2 linked regions of the Callithrix jacchus genome follow. The protein of the gene in region 2 purifies or fractionates together with the protein of the main gene of each other region. This does not show direct contact. Links are inferred from orthologs where the notes say so. Each region holds a gene or a part of one and is shown on either strand. Other genes may lie near its edges.

Region 1 (4,111 bases), on a different chromosome or scaffold from region 2:
ATGGGGGCATGTACCCTTTACAAAAACATTGGAGTAGACAATGTTTTGCTTCCAATTCTCTCCATCCACCACTGTTCCTAATGACAGGTTAAAGGTGACCACATGGCTGGGCATGGTGGCTCACCCCTGGAATCCCAGCACTTTAGTAGGCTGAGGCGGTGGACTGCTTGAGGTCAGGAGTTCAAGACCAGCCTGACCAACATGGTGAAACCCAGTCTCTACTAAAAATACATAAATTAGACAGGCACGGTGGTGGGCACCTTTAATCTCAGCTACTCAGGAGGCTGAAGCAGGAGGATTGCTTGAACCCCTGAAGTGGAGGCTGCAGAGAGCTGAGATCATGCCACTGCACTCCAGCCTGGGTGACAGAGCGAAATTCTGTCTCAAAATAAAGTTGACCACATGAATTAAATCCTCAACCTTACTATACGTTTGTTCTATGTTCCCTTTTCCAGAAAGGCCTTATCTCACCCCTCTGACCCAATTCCTATTAGTCCCTCAGACTTCATCATTTTAGATATCATCTCTATGTAAGCCTACTCAGACTCCTCACGATTTAGGCTAGCCAGTCCTCCTCCCTATGGTTACTACTGTAGCACCTTCCACATTGTTATGATTGACCTCACTGGAATGCTCTTCGAGGGGTCTGTTGTGTTCACCACTTATTCCCAGTGCCTAAGAATAGTGCCAAGCATTAGGTGCTCAGTAAATATTTGCTGACCCATCTGATCACCTAACCCCACCCAACTACAGCTAAAAGTGGAGTGTTAAAAGCAAACTTAGTGCATTGTAAGTGCTAGCGCTAAGTGCTAGTGTTCTCTAACCCAGAAGTTAGAGAACAAGTTCTAAGTTTCATGAAATTTGTGAAAGACCAAGAGAACAGTAAGATACTCCGGAAATAAGAACTGTAATTTCCACCCAAAAAGGGTGAGCAAAATAAAAATCTATTTTTAAAAAACCACTTGTCCAATTTAATTTCAGTGTAATTTCTTTTGTGAGAATGAAGCAGCTATTTGTCACACACGCACAAAAATCCAAACCAAATTATTTCAGTAACGCTATAAATTCTTTCAAATCAGCTTAATTTTAACAATTCCCAGAGTTCAAAGACAACTGCAGTTGCTTTTTAAAATCGTCTCAATAGAAAATTACATTTAAAAATGGGTTAAACTACACCGCCACAATGCTGAGTGCTGGGCTCCAAGTGACAGAGGCAGCTATGTGTCTTGAAGAAATGTATTGGGGATCGGATGAGTTTCACAATTAATTTAGCACAATTAGCATCAGCGCCACTAAATTTTCTAACCAGATTCAAAAGGGACTTTCCTAGAGCCTTCCCTTTTCCTTTCCTAAATGGGAAATTCGATTTAAAAGGTCACTCTTTAGCTCTTACTTCCACACTAAGTAATTCTGAAACGTGGTGAAAGTACATTAGAAGTCCTTAGGGCTATGACTGGCAAAATACTTTCCTGTAAATACTACAGTCGAAACAGAAGAGAGAACTTGACTTCATTCTGTTGGGTTTGAGGACAGAAACTGATCATATCTCCCTCAGATTACTGTTTCTGTTGATGTCTCAAAAGGCACTGAGGCAAATATGCCAGAGTCCCACCCCAAGCGCGAAGGGCCTCCGATTGTTTGACACATCAATGGATTAGTCAAGGAGGACAACTCACTTTTCCCTTCTAATTTGCCTTAATTATTCTACACACAAACCCTCAAGTTTACTCTAAGTTATGACCATATGGAATCTTCTTTTTGCCCCGGAGTATAAACTCAGGCCTTTCCCAAATAGCTAGTACTGCTTCTATCACAACCACTGAAATAAATACCTTACATATACCACACATCTAATAATTCCACGCAAATGTGGAAAAAGCCAGTCCTGAAGAAATAAGGTTCCGGAACGTGGTTAAATGATGCATATTTTGTAACCGAAGGCACTGAGCATAGTGGGAGACTTGAAAGCAAAAGGCCGGATGGAAAGCATGGAAGACCCCGCCCCAGTAAGCTCCATACCGATTCAAACAGTAACTTGGGTCTGTCGTTTGGAATCGGAATCACCGAAACAAAGGCGTATATCACGGGAAGCAAGATGTCTGGAGTAAAATAAAAGGTTTGCAGCTACCGAGACCGTACACTGTCCTCCCACAGGTCTTACCTATGGTGGAAATAAAGGTGGTATTGAAGGCATCATCCGAAAAACGAAAAAGGACGCAGGTCTTCCCCACTCCCGAGTCCCCGATCAGGAGCAGCTTGAAAAGCAGGTCGTACGTCTTCTTCGCCATTGGGAGGAGCGGCTCGGGCTCTCGCCGCCGGCGGCCCCAAGGGATCGGTCCCTCTCACTACAGCCAACTCCTCACTCGGGCGTTCTCAGGCCGGAGGACGGGGAAGCGTGGGAAAAAGGAAAGCTCGAGAGGGTGCGGGCGACCTACGAACAGCTTCGAGGAAGCCCAGACAGTGCCTCCGTCCAGTGCCTCCGAGGGCGGCGACCGCAGCTCCGCAGCCTCTCCCAGCCGCTCCGCCCGGTTCCGGGGAGTCGGTCGGGACAAAATGGCCTCCCCTCCCCCCTCAGGGTTTCTCGGCCGGGACGCTCCCACGGGCGAGCAAGCTTGCTCTGCCGTCGAGGAGGTGCGGCGGGCGTGTGTACAGTCTCTCCCCGGAGCAGAAACTCTGCGCTAGCACGCCGCGAGGACAGCGAAGAAGAACCCCCAAGTCGACGGGCTCAGCTACATAGCCCCAGGAAGCCGAGCCACCCCGGCCAGAGCCACCTTTCCCCCGTGCCCTCTCACGCCAGCGTGCGCGCTGCCTGAGACGCACGCAAGGACGTACGCCCGCCCTTCCCTCGCGCCCTCGCCTTGCGGTCCGCCTCTGCGCACGCGCACAAGAGGGCGTGGGGCGCGCCTGGGTGGAGAGTGGAGCGCCCCCTCCGGCCTCCAAGCCTCAGTCTGAAGCTAAACCCAGAGGGGAGAAGGGAGGGGCGAGAGGGGGTGAGGCCGCGGCGCGCTCCCTTTGGCCGCCTGATAGGGTGCGCGGCGTTACGAGCACGCCCCTCGGGAGTCGCTGCCTAGCCACTACGCAGGCGCAGCGCCTTCGGGTACACGCTTTCCGCACCGCGCACCTCTTTCCTTTCCCGGGGTCGCCGACTAGCCCGCGCTGCGGTTTCTCTGCACAGAGTTTGTCGGGTGTGTTGAGCCGGAGGTCTGGGCGCAGCGACGGGCTTGGGTGGCCATGTGTTCCTGTGTAGGTGGAGCTCGTGAATGCGAGAAAAAGTCGTGCCTTGGGTCATTTAATAGCTTCTTTGCTAGAACGAGACTCCTCCCGGCGTGCCACCCGCTCCCCTCCCCCCCGCCAGGGCCAACCCTGACGGGGAAACTTGAGCGCTCCATCCCGGTTCGCTTCTGGAGCAAGAGTTGGAGATGGAAAACCTGGCCATGCTGCTCGGGTTGGTATGATGTAATCCCCACAGCCTCTTCCTGGGCGAGGAGAGGAAGGCTGAGGAACACCTGGGCGCAGGAACAACAACCCCGCGAAGTGGAAGGTTATGTGCGATGCTCAGAGAACCTGCTCTAGGCCTTTGCTGGCCTTTAGGAATCCGGGAGAACCCGAGAGCTCTCCGCAGAGGACGTGGAGCGTCTACCTGCCACCAGAGTCGTACTGGGTTGAAAATTGAAAGGTGGGCCGGGCGAGGTGGCTCTTGCCTGTAATCCCAGCACTTTGGGAGGCCAAGGCGGGTGGATCACGAGTTCAGGAGATCGAGACCATCCTAACACGGTGAAACCCCATATCTACTAAAAAAACAAAAAATTAGCCGAGCGTGTTGGTACGTGCCTGTAGTCCCAGTTGCTCTGGAGGCTGAGGCAGGAGAATCGCATGAACCTGGGAGGCAGAGATTGCAGTGAGCCGAGATCTTGCCACTGCACTCCAGCCTGGCGACAGAGCGAGACCTCGTCTGATTAAAAAAAAAAAAAAATTGAAAGGTGGTCAAGCCTACCCCCAATCCGACACAGCCTCCATCCTCGCATTCTCTCTTCATTTGTTTTACCTACTTCTGACCTCTCTCCCCATCAATCCTATTTACACCGCTCTTTTTCTCCTTGCCTTCCGTAGT
Region 2 (3,847 bases):
AGCACACAAGCTTCCCAAGGGCAGGGTCTCTGTCGTGTTTAACACGTATCCCAGGGCCAAGAGAGGAACCTCACAAACAGACGGGAAGCTGTGATAGTTTGCTGCAAGAATCTCGGTGTCACCATCTGTAAACTGAGGCTACATGATGCTTCTCTGGCAGGGCTATGGGGCAAGTCAACATGACACAGGAGGCAAAGGGCCTTGGGCACCAGCCAGCACCGCATCAATGTCCAGGGGCGGTGGCGACAATCACTGATGTGGGCGATGAGAAAAGGAACGGCCGGCCCCTCGCATTGGCGCCGGCCCCCACTTACCCTCATGCTTCTGGAACTCCTCCTCTGAGAAGTTGACGTCCTTGTGGGAGAGGTTGGTCATAAGCTGCTTGTTCTCCTCCTGCAGCTGGGCGATCTGGGAGAGGAGGTCCTGAGCCTCCCCTCGCCACACATCCTCCACCAGCTCCAGCTCCTGCCAAGGCGAGGGGACAGCACGGGGTCACTGCCTGCCCAGGGCAGCAGCCTTACCCACCCTGACCCTAAGGGCGGCTTGGATTGCCGGGACTTTGGGCCTTCCCCTTCCTTGTGAGAACTGGGAATCAGGCATCTGGGTTGGCAAGGCCACCATGAGCCCCATATGGTACTTTTGCAAGAAACAGAAGGCACCCTTCTTTGGGGCAGATGCCTGCGTTTATGCTGCTAGGACCTGGCCCAGTTAGAACTGCCCCAAGGACAACCACAAAGCTGGTGCCACGTCTTGGAGCTTTCTTCAGAGAGGGCAGAGCAGCCCCAGGATGTGCGGGTCCTAACATTCTCAACCTCTGGGGGCACGTCCTTGACTCTGGACAGTTGGGACAAACCTCTCTCCACAGGAGCCAGAGGGCTCGAAAATCCTGGGGGTGCCGAGGCAGACAGGGTCCTCCTGCCCCAGAGTTCCTTAGGTATCTGATCCAGGTCTCTCTCCACAGGGTCTTCAACCACTGACCTGACCACCCTGAGCCTCAGTTTCTCTCAGTAGGGGAACCAAAACAAAGGCTCACTAGGTGAATGTGAGAATAAATAAAATCAGTCTATTAAAGTTACCTTGTGAGTGACTGTGGTCAGAGAAATAGACAATGACAAGTGCTGACAAGGAGAGGAAGAAACAGCAGCGCTCCCACGCCGCTGGTGGGAATGGAAAATGGTGCGGACATTCTGGAAAACACTGGCAGTTTCGCAAAACATGAACACAGTTACCACAGGACCTAGCAACTCCAGTCCTTGGATCGGCTCAAGAGGTGTGAACACAAGTCCACATGAAAACGTGTGCAGGGAAATGCTCCTCACAGCATTCTTCCTAGTAGCCAAAACGCAGAAACAGCACATCCATACAGTGGAATACTATTTGGCCACTAAAAGGAATGAAAGTCTGACATACGCTACAACATAGGTGGACCCTGAAAACATTATGGAAAGAAGCCAGACACAAAAGGTCAAATGTTATATGATCAGTTTTAAAAAATGTCCAATATCAGCAAATCCATAGAGATAGGAAGCAGGGCGAGGCACAGTGGCTCACGCCTGTAATTCCAGCACTTTGGGAGGCCGAGATGGGTGGATCACTTGAGGTCAGAAGTTTGAGACCAACCTGGCCAACAAGGTGAAACCCCATCTCTACTAAAAATATAAAAATCAGCTTGGCGGCCGGGCGTGGTGGCTCACACCTGAAATCTAAGCACTTGGAGGCCAAGGTGGATGGATCACCTGAGGTCAGGAGTTCAAGACCAGCAGGACCAACATGGTGAAACCCCGTCTTTTTTTTTAAATATATATATATAAATTAGCTTGGCATGGTGGTAGGCACCTGTAATCCCAGCTACTCCGGAGGCTGAGGGTGGAGAATCGCTTAAACCCAGGAAGTGGAGGTTGCAGTCAGCCGAGATTGCACCATTGCATTCCAGCCTAGGTAACAAGAGGAAAATTCCATCTCAAAAAAAAAAAATATATATATATATACATATATACATATACATATACATGTACATGTACATGTCAGGCGTGGTGGCTCACGCCTGTAATTCCAGCACTTTGGGAGGCTGAGGTGGGTGGATCACCTGAGGTCAGGAGTTCGAGACTGGACTGACCAACATGGTGAAACCCCGTCACTACTAAATACAAAAAATGACCCAGACATGGTAGTGCATGCCTGTAGTCCCAGCTACTTGGGAGGCTACGGCAGGAGAATTCTTGAACCCAGGAGGTGGAGGCTGCAGTGGCTGAGACTGAGCCATTGCACTCCAGCCTAGGCAACAAGAGCTAAAATCTGTCACAAAATGAAAGAAAAAGAGAAAAAGGAAAAGAAAAAAAGAGAGAAAAAGGAAGCAGACAGGTTGTCTAGAGCCAGCGTGCTAGAGGGAAGATGAAGAATGACTGTGAATAGGTATAGATTTTCTTTTGGGGGTGATGAAAATGTTCTAAAATTGATGGTGGCAGGGTGCAGTGGCTCACACCTGGAATCCCAACACTTTGAGAGGCCAAGGCGGGTGGATCACTTGAGGTAAGGATTTCGAGACCAACCTGGCCAACATGGCAAAACCCCATCTCTACTAAAAACACAAAAAATTAGCCAGGTGTGGTGGTGGGCACCTGTAATCCCAGCTACTTCGGAAGCTCAGGCAGGAGAATTGCTTGAACCTGGGAGGTGGATGCTACAGTGAACCGAGATCAAGCCATTGCACTCCAGCCTGAGCAACAGAATGAGATTCCATCTCAAAAAATAAAATAAAATAGTAAAATAGGCAAGGCACAGTGGCTCACACCTGCAATCCCAGCACTTTGGGAGGCAGGTGGATCACCTGAGGTCAGGAGTTCAAGACCAGCCTGGTCAACATGGCAAAACCCCATCTCTACAAAAATATAAAAATTAGCTGGGTATGGTGGTATGTGCCTGTAATCCCAGATACTCGGGAGGCTGAGGTGGGAGAACTGCTTGAACCTGGGAGGCAAAGGCTGCAGTGAGCCGAGATCGCGCCACTGCACTCCAGCCTGGGCCACAGAGTGAGACTCCATCTCGAAAAATGTAAAATAAAATAAAATAAATAGTGGTTCAAGGCATTGACACCGGAGCCTGTTGACCCAAGTTTGAATCCTGTTCCAGCTGCTTACTAGCTGACCCTGGTAAGTTATTCAACCTTCCGGTGCCCTGGAAATGAGGAGAACAATGTAGGATCTGCCAGGAAGGGTGGGTGTGAGGATTAAACAGTTACTATGAGTAAAGTGCCCAGAACATGCCCAGCCACCAGAAAGCACTAACAACATGTAATCTCTGTTCCATCCCTACCACCCATCACAAGCGGCCAGGTGGCCGCATGCTAGGCATGCCTCTGTCCATCTGCTAAATAAATTCTCAGACCCACCTCCTTTGTCAGAACCTGTAGCACTGGGGACGAGAGGAGTAATAGCCTAGTACTGGCACCGAGGGTTCAAGGTCACCAGGGGAGGTGAAGGGCAGGGTGGGGGGCGGCAGTCGTGGGGGAGGGATGGGGAGGGCATGCTGACCTTCCCACAAGCAGGTGGGGCTTGGAAGCAAATGAGGCACATCCAGCCCTGTTCCTCTCTGCTCCCAGTGGGCATCGGCTGGGCTCACAGATGCTCAGAGAACATCAGTCAAGTGTAACTGGCTGGGGCAGGCAGAATAACAGCTTCCAAAGTCCTCCAGGTCCTAGTCTCTGAGAATATGTTGCCTTACGTGGCAAAGGGGACTGCGCAGAGATGATTAAGTTAGGGACTTAGGCACGGTGTGGTGGGTTATACCTATCACACCAGTAATTTAGGGGGCTGAGGTGGGAGCACTGCTTTAGGCCAGGAGTTCAAGA

Evidence for each region.
Region 1: the proteins of RILPL1 (region 2) and RAB10 purify together in Homo sapiens (co-immunoprecipitation; 3 studies listed by BioGRID and IntAct, with this or other methods). This does not show direct contact. The link is inferred for Callithrix jacchus from reciprocal best matches to the Homo sapiens genes RILPL1 and RAB10.

Annotation. Positions count from the first base shown.
Region 1 is NC_133515.1:88,923,552-88,927,662, reverse strand, and holds the start of RAB10 (ras-related protein Rab-10), read right to left. Parts: upstream 2,801-4,111; 5' UTR 2,289-2,800; coding exon 2,162-2,288; intron 1-2,161. UniProt on the Homo sapiens protein: The small GTPases Rab are key regulators of intracellular membrane trafficking, from the formation of transport vesicles to their fusion with membranes.
Region 2 is NC_133510.1:126,721,208-126,725,054, forward strand, and holds part of RILPL1 (RILP-like protein 1), read right to left. Parts: intron 466-3,847; coding exon 315-465; intron 1-314. UniProt on the Homo sapiens protein: Plays a role in the regulation of cell shape and polarity. Plays a role in cellular protein transport, including protein transport away from primary cilia.